Daphnia pulex: one gene and its partner. The protein of the gene in region 2 purifies or fractionates together with the protein of the main gene of each other region. This does not show direct contact. Links are inferred from orthologs where the notes say so. Each region holds a gene or a part of one and is shown on either strand. Other genes may lie near its edges.

Evidence for each region.
Region 1: the proteins of DDB1- and CUL4-associated factor 11-like (region 2) and COP9 signalosome complex subunit 6-like purify together in Homo sapiens (affinity purification with mass spectrometry; 6 studies listed by BioGRID and IntAct, counting the BioPlex papers as one, with this or other methods). This does not show direct contact. The link is inferred for Daphnia pulex from reciprocal best matches to the Homo sapiens genes DCAF11 and COPS6.

The regions. Positions count from the first base shown.
Region 1 is NC_060019.1:12,303,407-12,307,638, reverse strand, and holds COP9 signalosome complex subunit 6-like, read right to left. Parts: upstream 2,469-4,232; 5' UTR 2,381-2,468; coding exon 2,227-2,380; intron 2,167-2,226; coding exon 2,038-2,166; intron 1,978-2,037; coding exon 1,663-1,977; intron 1,597-1,662; coding exon 1,403-1,596; intron 1,336-1,402; coding exon 1,192-1,335; 3' UTR 1,117-1,191; downstream 1-1,116. Other genes in the region: probable transcriptional regulatory protein FMG_0893, read left to right, coding at 2,556-2,702, 2,774-2,786, 2,856-3,102, 3,174-3,310, 3,372-3,598; 60S acidic ribosomal protein P0-like, read right to left, coding at 3,950-4,232. UniProt on the Homo sapiens protein: Component of the COP9 signalosome complex (CSN), a complex involved in various cellular and developmental processes.
Region 2 is NC_060025.1:8,378,791-8,383,910, reverse strand, and holds the start of DDB1- and CUL4-associated factor 11-like, read right to left. Parts: upstream 2,888-5,120; 5' UTR 2,780-2,887; intron 2,725-2,779; 5' UTR 2,722-2,724; coding exon 2,398-2,721; intron 2,335-2,397; coding exon 2,073-2,334; intron 2,008-2,072; coding exon 1,861-2,007; intron 1,795-1,860; coding exon 1,613-1,794; intron 1,550-1,612; coding exon 1,311-1,549; intron 1,245-1,310; coding exon 1,141-1,244; intron 1,078-1,140; coding exon 922-1,077; intron 855-921; coding exon 748-854; intron 684-747; coding exon 402-683; 3' UTR 1-401. Other genes in the region: glutamate [NMDA] receptor subunit 1-like, read right to left, coding at 3,525-3,759, 3,839-3,990, 4,050-4,172, 4,236-4,453, 4,533-4,713, 4,788-4,946. UniProt on the Homo sapiens protein: May function as a substrate receptor for CUL4-DDB1 E3 ubiquitin-protein ligase complex.

The DNA of each region.
Region 1 (4,232 bases), on a different chromosome or scaffold from region 2:
AATTCAATGCACACGAAAAATATCCATACACACACACAACACGGTTGAAAAACGTAGCGAAAAAGAAAAGAAAAAGCTTGTTGATATGTGCGTCTTTACTCCTTGGGATTCCACGGAACTCTGATGGCGCTCCACCACCAGGTCCCCTCGACATTCAAGCCCTTCCCTTCCCCCCCCCCCCTCCTTCCTTCTCTATTTTAAACCGCCCACAGGCTCTTTTTCTTTCTTTCATTTTCTTCGTTTCATCCAGCTTTCCTTTTATTCTCTACCATTTCTATACTCTGTGCAGCCCCACATGATGGCGGCAATAAGAGCTTCCTCCCACTTTCGTCGGTCCTCGTCTGCAGCAGCTCACGGAGTTAACACACATTTCTCATTTGAATCTATGCTTCAATGACGGGCTACAAATTAAATTGGTTTCACAAACGGATGCTGATGAATTTAGTTGATTAAACTAGAGCCATGATCTTTTATTTTTTTACCTTTTTCTGCAATGTTGTGATTACACTGTCGAAAAAGGCTGCTGCCAAATAGGAAAATTCAACCAGAATAGCCAAAAAAACCAGAAGCTTACTGAAAAGCTGTTAAATAAAGATGTCGTTGCGATTATGATCGGCGTTGTAAATCTGTACCTACACATTTTGGCATAATATTATAACACATTTTTCCAGTGTTGTCAAAATGAATTGGAAAAAAAGATTGGAATCTGAATCAAATAATTTTAGATGCCAAAATTTCCTTTTTTCTGTGAGCTCAACTACAATTAATTTAAGTTATATTGGATCACGAATTCATTAAATAATTTTAAAAATTACAAAAAAACTGCCAAACAACGAACGATATTGTTAAGTCGAGTAAATCTTTAAATAACCAACATCTTGGCTAGGACCCATAGTTTCGATGTAAGCTAATCTCCAGTGTATCGGATTTGCCGGATTTGTCAAATCCAACAGACTGCTAATCTCATACTAACACTCTGTATTAACAAAGGACGCCTTAAATTACGAGGCCAATAAACTTAAGAAAAATAATCCATATGGACTTGATATTACACTGCCATGATTAAGCTGACATTTTCAATACACACCTTGGATGGAAATGTAGCTGAAATGGGAATCTTGATCAAAACCAATATGTATTAGGTAGGGCACAAAGCATGTTTCCTTAAATATGTTATACAATGCTCACAATTCAGAAAAAGAGACCACGCATTCGGCGACCCATTATGCCTTGACGGTCGCAAAGTATGTTGAATTTGGTGACAAACTGGTGAAGGTCGTGACATGCTTTGGTAATGGATGCCAAATAGGTTTGCAGCAAGACATCATTGTATTGCTACAAGACAAAAGAAAACAAGATTAGAAAAATCAACCCAATTAACAAAGAGTTAAGATATAATTACGGTGTAATATTCCTCCTGGAAAATTTCAGAGTTGAGGACAGGTAACCTGTGGGTCAGAGATTTAGCTTCGCGTAAGACTTCGTGAGACTTTGGAACCTCTCCTCTCTCCATGGCTCGAATGTATTCTAATATCAATCGCACTCGGTTGGCAAGCATTTTTACTGCGTTGTGTTGGGCTTGCAATTGTTCCGCCACTGTTTAAAAAAGAAAAGTATGTCCATGACAGTTTCATAAGGATAATGTTAATGAATTAAAATTACCTTGAGAACTTTCAGCTGAATCACCAGAAGCCATTCTAGCAACATGATCAACTCCAATTCTTTCTGCCTCTTCTGTGGCCAAAGTATAAGTCAATTCAACAAAGAGCATAGTTGCCTCTCCATTGACAAGATCAATTACAGATTCATACATTGTTACAGGGAGGTCAGCATTTCGTGTAAAAGGATTAAGCTTCAAAATTACAGGACTTTCGTTAATCTCACATATTTGTTTGTGGACATGAATGTCAGATTCATTGGGAGCATCTCCAGTGGTATACCAGCCAAGGAAATCCATATCACTAAACACTTGCTTGACTAAAGATAAAAAGAAATTATGAAGAACATTTAATAAGTAAAGAATGGGAAATTTCATACATTGCTCCTCTTTTGTGTTGTAGTAATCTCGGTCAATTACCACATTCTCAATAACAGTGAAAACCAGTTCAAAGGAATTCATGATTTCTAGGCTTCTTCCTTTCTGCTTTCCAATGAGTGCACCAATCACTATGAAATTGTGTATACAAAATAAATAAAGAGTTAAAATGTACATCACATAAACATTACCTTGCTGTGCTTTCCCTTCCTGGGCTCTCACTCGAGTCCAATGTTCAGATATATTCATCACAACCAAGGGATGCAATAAAACTGATATACTTCCTGTCGCCCCCGATGAAGCCATTACATGGTTAACATTCTGATTATTCTCTTCAGTCTCCATTGTTTTATTCAAGAAAATCGAATATCAGGAAGTGATCTGCGTTTGAAAAGAAGAAGTTGAAAGCGTAGCAGTCGACGTTGTAGCGAGACTAAAACAGCAGACGAAAAGATATTTACCGGAACTGCATTTTGTTTTCTTTTTATAATAATTCAAAAAATATTAACAATAATTTATCATGTTTCAAAAGATTCGTTTGGGTATTTTGATTCCGCTCTCAAGAAACATGGCTGGGCATAGTAAATGGGCCAACATCAAACATGTGAAGGGTGCAAAGGATGCTGAAAGAGCAACTTTACATCTAAGAATTTTTCGTCAAATTAGGGTATTTTGAATTTGTGTTCTCATTATTAGTGTAACTATAACATTTTCTTGAATTTCAATCACAACAATCAGGCAGCTATTAAAGGTTTGTATACTGAGTATTAATTTTTGGTTGAAACAAAGTTTAGCATTAACATACAATTCTTTGTTGCAGAACATGGCTCGGCAGATCCAAAACAAAATATAAAACTTAGTCATCTTGTAGATCAAGCAAGGCATCATAATGTGCCCTCTGAAAAGTTGAAACATATTCTAAAGAATGCTGATCAGTCTACTGAGGATTTAAAACCTTATGTTATGGAAGTAAGAGGACCAGTGGGAACCTTTTTCGTGGTAGAAGTTCTCACTCCTAGTTATTTGAAAGCAAGACAAGGCATCAATACAATCAACAGGAAATTCAAGTAAGTTTAAAATTACTGGTAAATGTAGTGTATGAATTGACTTATAAGTAATAATAATCCTTTCTTGTCAGTGCATCATGGGCAGAAGGAGTTTCAAACAATCTGTTTAACCATCAAGGATTAATCAAGGTGTCACCATTATCTATTGGCCAAACTATTGAGCAAGTACTTGACGATGCTATTAACGTCGGGGCGGAAGATGTAACAGGTATCATTCAAGTGAAATATATACATTATGCAATTATCCGAAATTCTGTGGTAATTTCTAGCTGATGAAGATGGCAAGTTTGTCTTCACATGCAGCCCAAGGGATTTTTTGAATGTCAAGAGATCTGTTAGTCAGCTTGGCTATTGCATAATAGAATCTGACTTGCTCTATATCCCACGAAATAGAGTTCAGATTGAATCCGAAGAAGACTTAGCATTAGTTTCTAAGCTCTATAGTAAGTTGGAAGAAGAGCCCGATGTTGTTAAAATTCATGATAACATTGAATGAGATATTTAATACATATTGTAAATTCTTATATTTTGCGGTTTGAATAAATTAATGCAAAGTGCAATTGAGTATGCGTCCGAATTACTTTTCATTTATTACATCCACCCAAACGCCGCGTACCCGCTTCAAGAAATTATGTCAATTAATGCAGAGGAAACTTGAACCTTATTAATGAAAGAATCGTTCAAGACAAACTGGGATATCAAAAGAATAAGTTAAGCACGAATCATTCCGTTAATCGTCAGTTTATTACAGTTCATAAAAGTATCCGCGGTACATGAGTCAAAGCTCACCATGTAATAACATTTCATCAACTGTAAACAGAACTGGATCAAAATCTGACAAGAGCGTCTAGTCGAAGAGACCGAAACCCATATCATCATCCTCTTCTTCGGATTCTTCTTTCTTTTCCTCCTTCTTGGGAGCAGCAGCAGCAGCGGCGGCCGGGGCGGCGGAAGCAGCAGGAGCAGCAGCAGCGGCGGCAGCAACGAACTTGCTGGGATCCTTCAAGAACTCCTTAACCGTCATGGCTTCTTTGAACTCGATGTTGGTTGCGGCAGCAACAGCCAACAAGTTCTTGAATCCATTGATCAACGAGTGAGGGGCAGAGGCCAAAGTTGGGTAACCAATGCGA
Region 2 (5,120 bases):
GTAGTACACGTAGACCTTTTTTTATAAACATATAAAAGACCCAGGAGAAAAAAATGAAAAAAAAAAAATAATTATACAAATAACAAGAAGAATTGTTCTTGGAAATTTCCACTCTCATTTACTTGAGAGTTTCACACGCATCAAATTATCCAGCACAACTAGATGCATCGTACCCGGGAGGAAGTTGATCATCTATCACAAAAAAGTAAAATAAAAGAGGGAAGGTTAACGTATCGATAGAAGCGCGTGAATTGAGCGCACCACGCCTGCTTCAGTTAAAGGTAACACCAATAACTGTACACAGAATTGAAACAAATGACTGCGTTGCGTTTTTTTTTTGTAGTTATGAAGTGTTTCGAAACAAGTGTGTTGTATTAAAGGATATATGGTGCGGACAAGACTTATGAAAGAGGGCGGCGGCTGGCTGCTTGTCGCTGCCTCTGTGACGTTCTCCGGGCCGTCTGTGGAGTTGCTCGAGCGGCCAGTCGTGGACTCCTACGCACTTCGCGATCACCTCCGCCATCAGCCGCGTCGTCATCTCGATATGAGCGGCGCTGCCTCTGCATCCAATTAGGATTGGAATCGTTGGATTCGCTGTCGGTAATGTACTCTTCCGTGTCCAAATCCATTTCGTCCTCGGAATCGGCTGAGGAATGGAACCACTTGAAGTGTCGGCCGTCCCACTATTACCCCGGTTGATTAAACTTTGGGAATTCATAGAGAAAAATTAGAAATAATATTTCATACCGCTGAATCGATAATATCCATGGAGTATGGATGCCAAGAGACGTCCCGAACACATTCAGAATGACCAGTCAGAATCGCTGCAGGCTTTCCAGTCAGGACATCATAAACTAAAATTGCAAATATTTAAAAATTAAATTGGTTTAGATTGATAATACTAGGTTATTGGGGTCTCACTGAAAATTTTTCCAGCTGCACAACCACTGTAAATATATCGTTGCCCAGTGCTAAATGCTGGACTGAAACGGCATCGGATTAAAGTTCTTAAGACACTGTGTCCGCGGTATGTCATCAAACTAGTATCACCGGCGATCTTGTTTTTGGGAGAAGCCACTGCCAAAGAATAATAATTCAGTTGAGATTTTAAACATAAACAATAACAAAAAGTTAACTTACGCCTCCACGGAACGTTTTGGAAACTATAATCCCAACTTTGGGCGTTCATAAGCATTCTAGTCTTTTGTTGAACTTCGTTTCCTGAGAATTTGCGCATGTCCCATCTAATTAATCGCACATTTTTTAAATGTTTTTTTTTTTACGATAGATAAAACAAGTATTGAGATTACAGCTTGATGGATTGGTCCTTGCTATTTGTAATCAAATGTCTGCCATCTCCACGCGAGTCGACGAACGTAAGTCCGTCAACATGGCCACCAAGAATGCCCACCGGTTTAGCCTCTCCGTTTTCCGCCAACGTTCGACGATCCCAAACTTTGCATAATCCATCATCCGCTCCAGAAAATAGGATCTGCGAAGTTTCGTCAGCATAGGCCACAGTATTCACGTCCTCTTCGTGGGCATCAATCTAAACAAGATGGGAGGTTAATTAAGGACTGTTGGTGGGTACGAAACAAAATAGTAATTTTACCCTGAGCGTTCTCTGTCGTTTTTCGCAATCGTAAATGTACAAACAGCCGTCATTGGCACCACCCAATACTTCATTTCCGTCTTGAGAAAAAGTAAGGCTGAAAATACAAAACCGTCGGAGTTCCGGGGAAAGTGGGAGAACTTCATGTCTTTCCACCTCATCGTAAATGTTACAAAGGTGGACTGAAAATGGAACCAAACGCATTAACAACATTTTTACTAAGTCGAATTATGTTTCAAGGTACTTACTGGCTTCCGACCAACTAGAATAAATGATGGAACGTCCATCAGGACTGAACGCTGTGTCTAGAATACTCCATCCGACATCTCGGGCGGGGATTTTCCTTATGCAATCAAATCCGCCTTTTGATGTGTCAAACACACGGATAACTCGATCTATGAATTTGAAGAAAAGCAAAGATTAAATCTTTTCTTGCGCAACACAAAGTCAATTGTAATACCTTGTGAAGCGCTGAGGAAAATATTGCCATCTTTAGAATATGTCCCGCAAAACATTTTGTGATTGCAGTTGGCAACTTGTTTGAATTTGTTAGGCAAATAGTTGTGGCCAATATAGCTCCTGTCTCCACCAGAAAAATGCCCTGTACCCTTCATCCCTACTTGACGCTGGTACAGTAGTGATGTCACACGAGTGGAATGGGATTTGCAACCGTGCTTGTAGATTCCTGATGATAGAGATGTTGATAAGTACAAATCAGTCCCCTAGAGAAAAACTGGTATTAAAAAGAGGTACCTTCTTGTTATGTCTAAACAAACTCATTTTACCTCAAGAACAGTTAAATCAGGTGTGCTGTCAACAGGGGGTGGTTGGGCATTTGGAAGGAAATCAAAGAAAGACTCGTTTCTTTCTTCAAATACTGAGTTTCTTTCTGAAAGAATGTGAGCTCGGCCACTGTGGTTTCCCAGAAAGGGAAAGAATTGTTGAATATTAAGATGATCTGCAAGCCACTCTACTATCATGAAGGGATAACTAACTAACCTCCTGATGAGCTGGGTAAGAACTGTGGCTATGTCGGTATCAGAATCTTCGTCCGACATCGATGAAGTATCTCTGTTACTGCTGTCTCTGTCTTCATCGTCAGAGTTCATTTTCTGTTGGGACAATTAAATCAGTAAACGTATAACGTGCTGTGATTCGGCTTCTTACTTGAAGGTAGATTGTTGTCTCACCGTTTATTCAATAACAAAGTTAGTTAACCCGATAAAAAATGTCACGCAACTAGGCAGACGACAGCAAATGTTTGATAAAAAGCTTTACGCAAACGACATCTAGTGTTGAAATTCTAAACCTTTGAGAAAAAATTACCGCCAAAATTTGAAATTGAGCCTTTTCTTCCTCATTTTCTTTTTCTCTGATAAAAACCAACGCATGAACCAAATTCATACCAACCAAATTTTTCAGGATTGCAATCAAGTGATTTTCGTTGTCATATCTTAGAAGCTAGGCCTTTTATTACGATTTCAAAATTATTTCCATTACAATTACTGAATTACGACGATAACTTGAGCTTCACGTGTAATAAACTTTATCCTGTCTTTCCTCATTACCTACCGACCTACCGTTGGGCAGCATTAAATTTGCCTCTTTTAGTCACTGTAGCAACCAATAAAATTTCTTGAGACAATCAAACTTTTAAACAAATGTGTATTCTAGCAAATCAACTGCTAGTTAGTTAATTCGTATCAGGAGTTACAAGACTAAGCTAAAAACGTTCGCATGCCCCAGGAGGAGAAGTAAAAACGGATTAAAATTCGGTAAAGGTTGTTTAAGACGTATATATAAATATATAAAAGAGGATATTATTAGACGAAAAGACTATTATTAGAAACTACACAACGTGCCCTATTGATGTAGTGCAGCACATACCTGCTGCAATAAATGCTTAAATTAACTAAAGCCTCTCTCGACGTAATGTTGATAGGATTATTTCCAGTAAGAAACTCAGCGTCGCCAATCCAATACCGATAGCAAGGATAAAGAAAGCGCTAATTAAGTCCGACAGTTGAATGGGGACTACGCGGGTGACTCCACGTTTCGTATCGGCAAAACACTGTTTCGCCTTGGGAGTAGAATGAATATTATTAATCCATAAACGGACAAGTCCACTCTCCCACAGTTCCATAAGTCTGTAAATATATTAGGATTGAAATAAATAAATAAAAAATCAAGATGTAAAAATTTAGGGTGTTTAAAATGGTTACATACCCTTTGTCCATATCTTTAGTAAACAAACTTCCTTTTTTAAAAAACAAAGACGTAAATCCAATGGAAACGGGCAAAAGTTTCGATAATTTAAAGCGACACATCCCGTCTTTCTCATATTGAGAACAGACAAAGGCATAGCATAAAGAGTGCAGCTAATGAAACAGAAAAGTTCAAAAATTGATCATGTTAATCTCTGTCTTTATACACTTACATAAGGATAAGCGTAGCGTCCAGTTTCCAGTGTTGCGGTCAACTTGAAAGGATTGTCAACTATTTGATTAGGATTACGTCGGGCTTCATCCCCAAGAACCTTATAAATACCGGATGTCGCCTTCTAGTGAATCCAGGAACAGCTTATGAGGATTTGATTTAGAAAATAAAGGAGAAATGACCTCACCAGGATCTGATTTCCGATCGTCGTATCACTTCGCAGAACTATACCAACTTCTTCGCTTGCGGCCAAGTCTTCAAATGAGTTTATGGTCGGTTTCATCTTTGGCGTTGTGAGTGAAGATGTGACGATTCCAGTGTAACAATTGACCAAAACCATAGCGCACAAAACCCAAACTCCAGTCAGGACCCGAAATGAGAAGCGATTAAATGCTTCTCTACCCCCTATTAAAGTTAAGAAAATTAGCGGCAGAGTACTAGCGGCAAAACATTTAAGTTGAAATAATCGCAAAAAATCGTTTACCTTGATTCGTCAGGGTATTAATCACGTAAATCATGTGGGAACTAGGGATAGTTGTAAACCATCGAATGGAATTGTTGTTCTTGGCGGCATCGTTATTCCAATGAAGATGTTGGTAGAACCACGTAAAAAAAGTCATCGCGCCAATGACAGGGAAAATGCTGATGAAAATCAGCAACCAAACCTGAAATCATAAAAAAAACGTAAGTAGCGCAATTGGAAGAAAAAGTGATCAAAGGAAATAGGCAGATAGCTCACCATAGGTTGAAATGGACCGATGAAAGCGAATAAACGATTTTCTTCCTCAGGTCTTGGTACAATTAGTGTCATTCCTTCAGTCCATATAAATGACGTTGGATCATTTTTCGCTACTCGATCGGCAGTTAAATGAAAGGTGGACGTAATGCTGTCAACGTTCTAATAATAAAAATAAACAATGTAATTTTTGTTTTTTATTACAACTAAAATTTTCTATTTTGCTTCTTCGTTGGCGAGTTGGTGATGAGCAGCCCCATGTGTGCCGTATTTCTCGACAAGAGTTTGGTTAATCAGAATCAAACGGAACCTGCGAATTTTCGCAGTTGGTTTCCC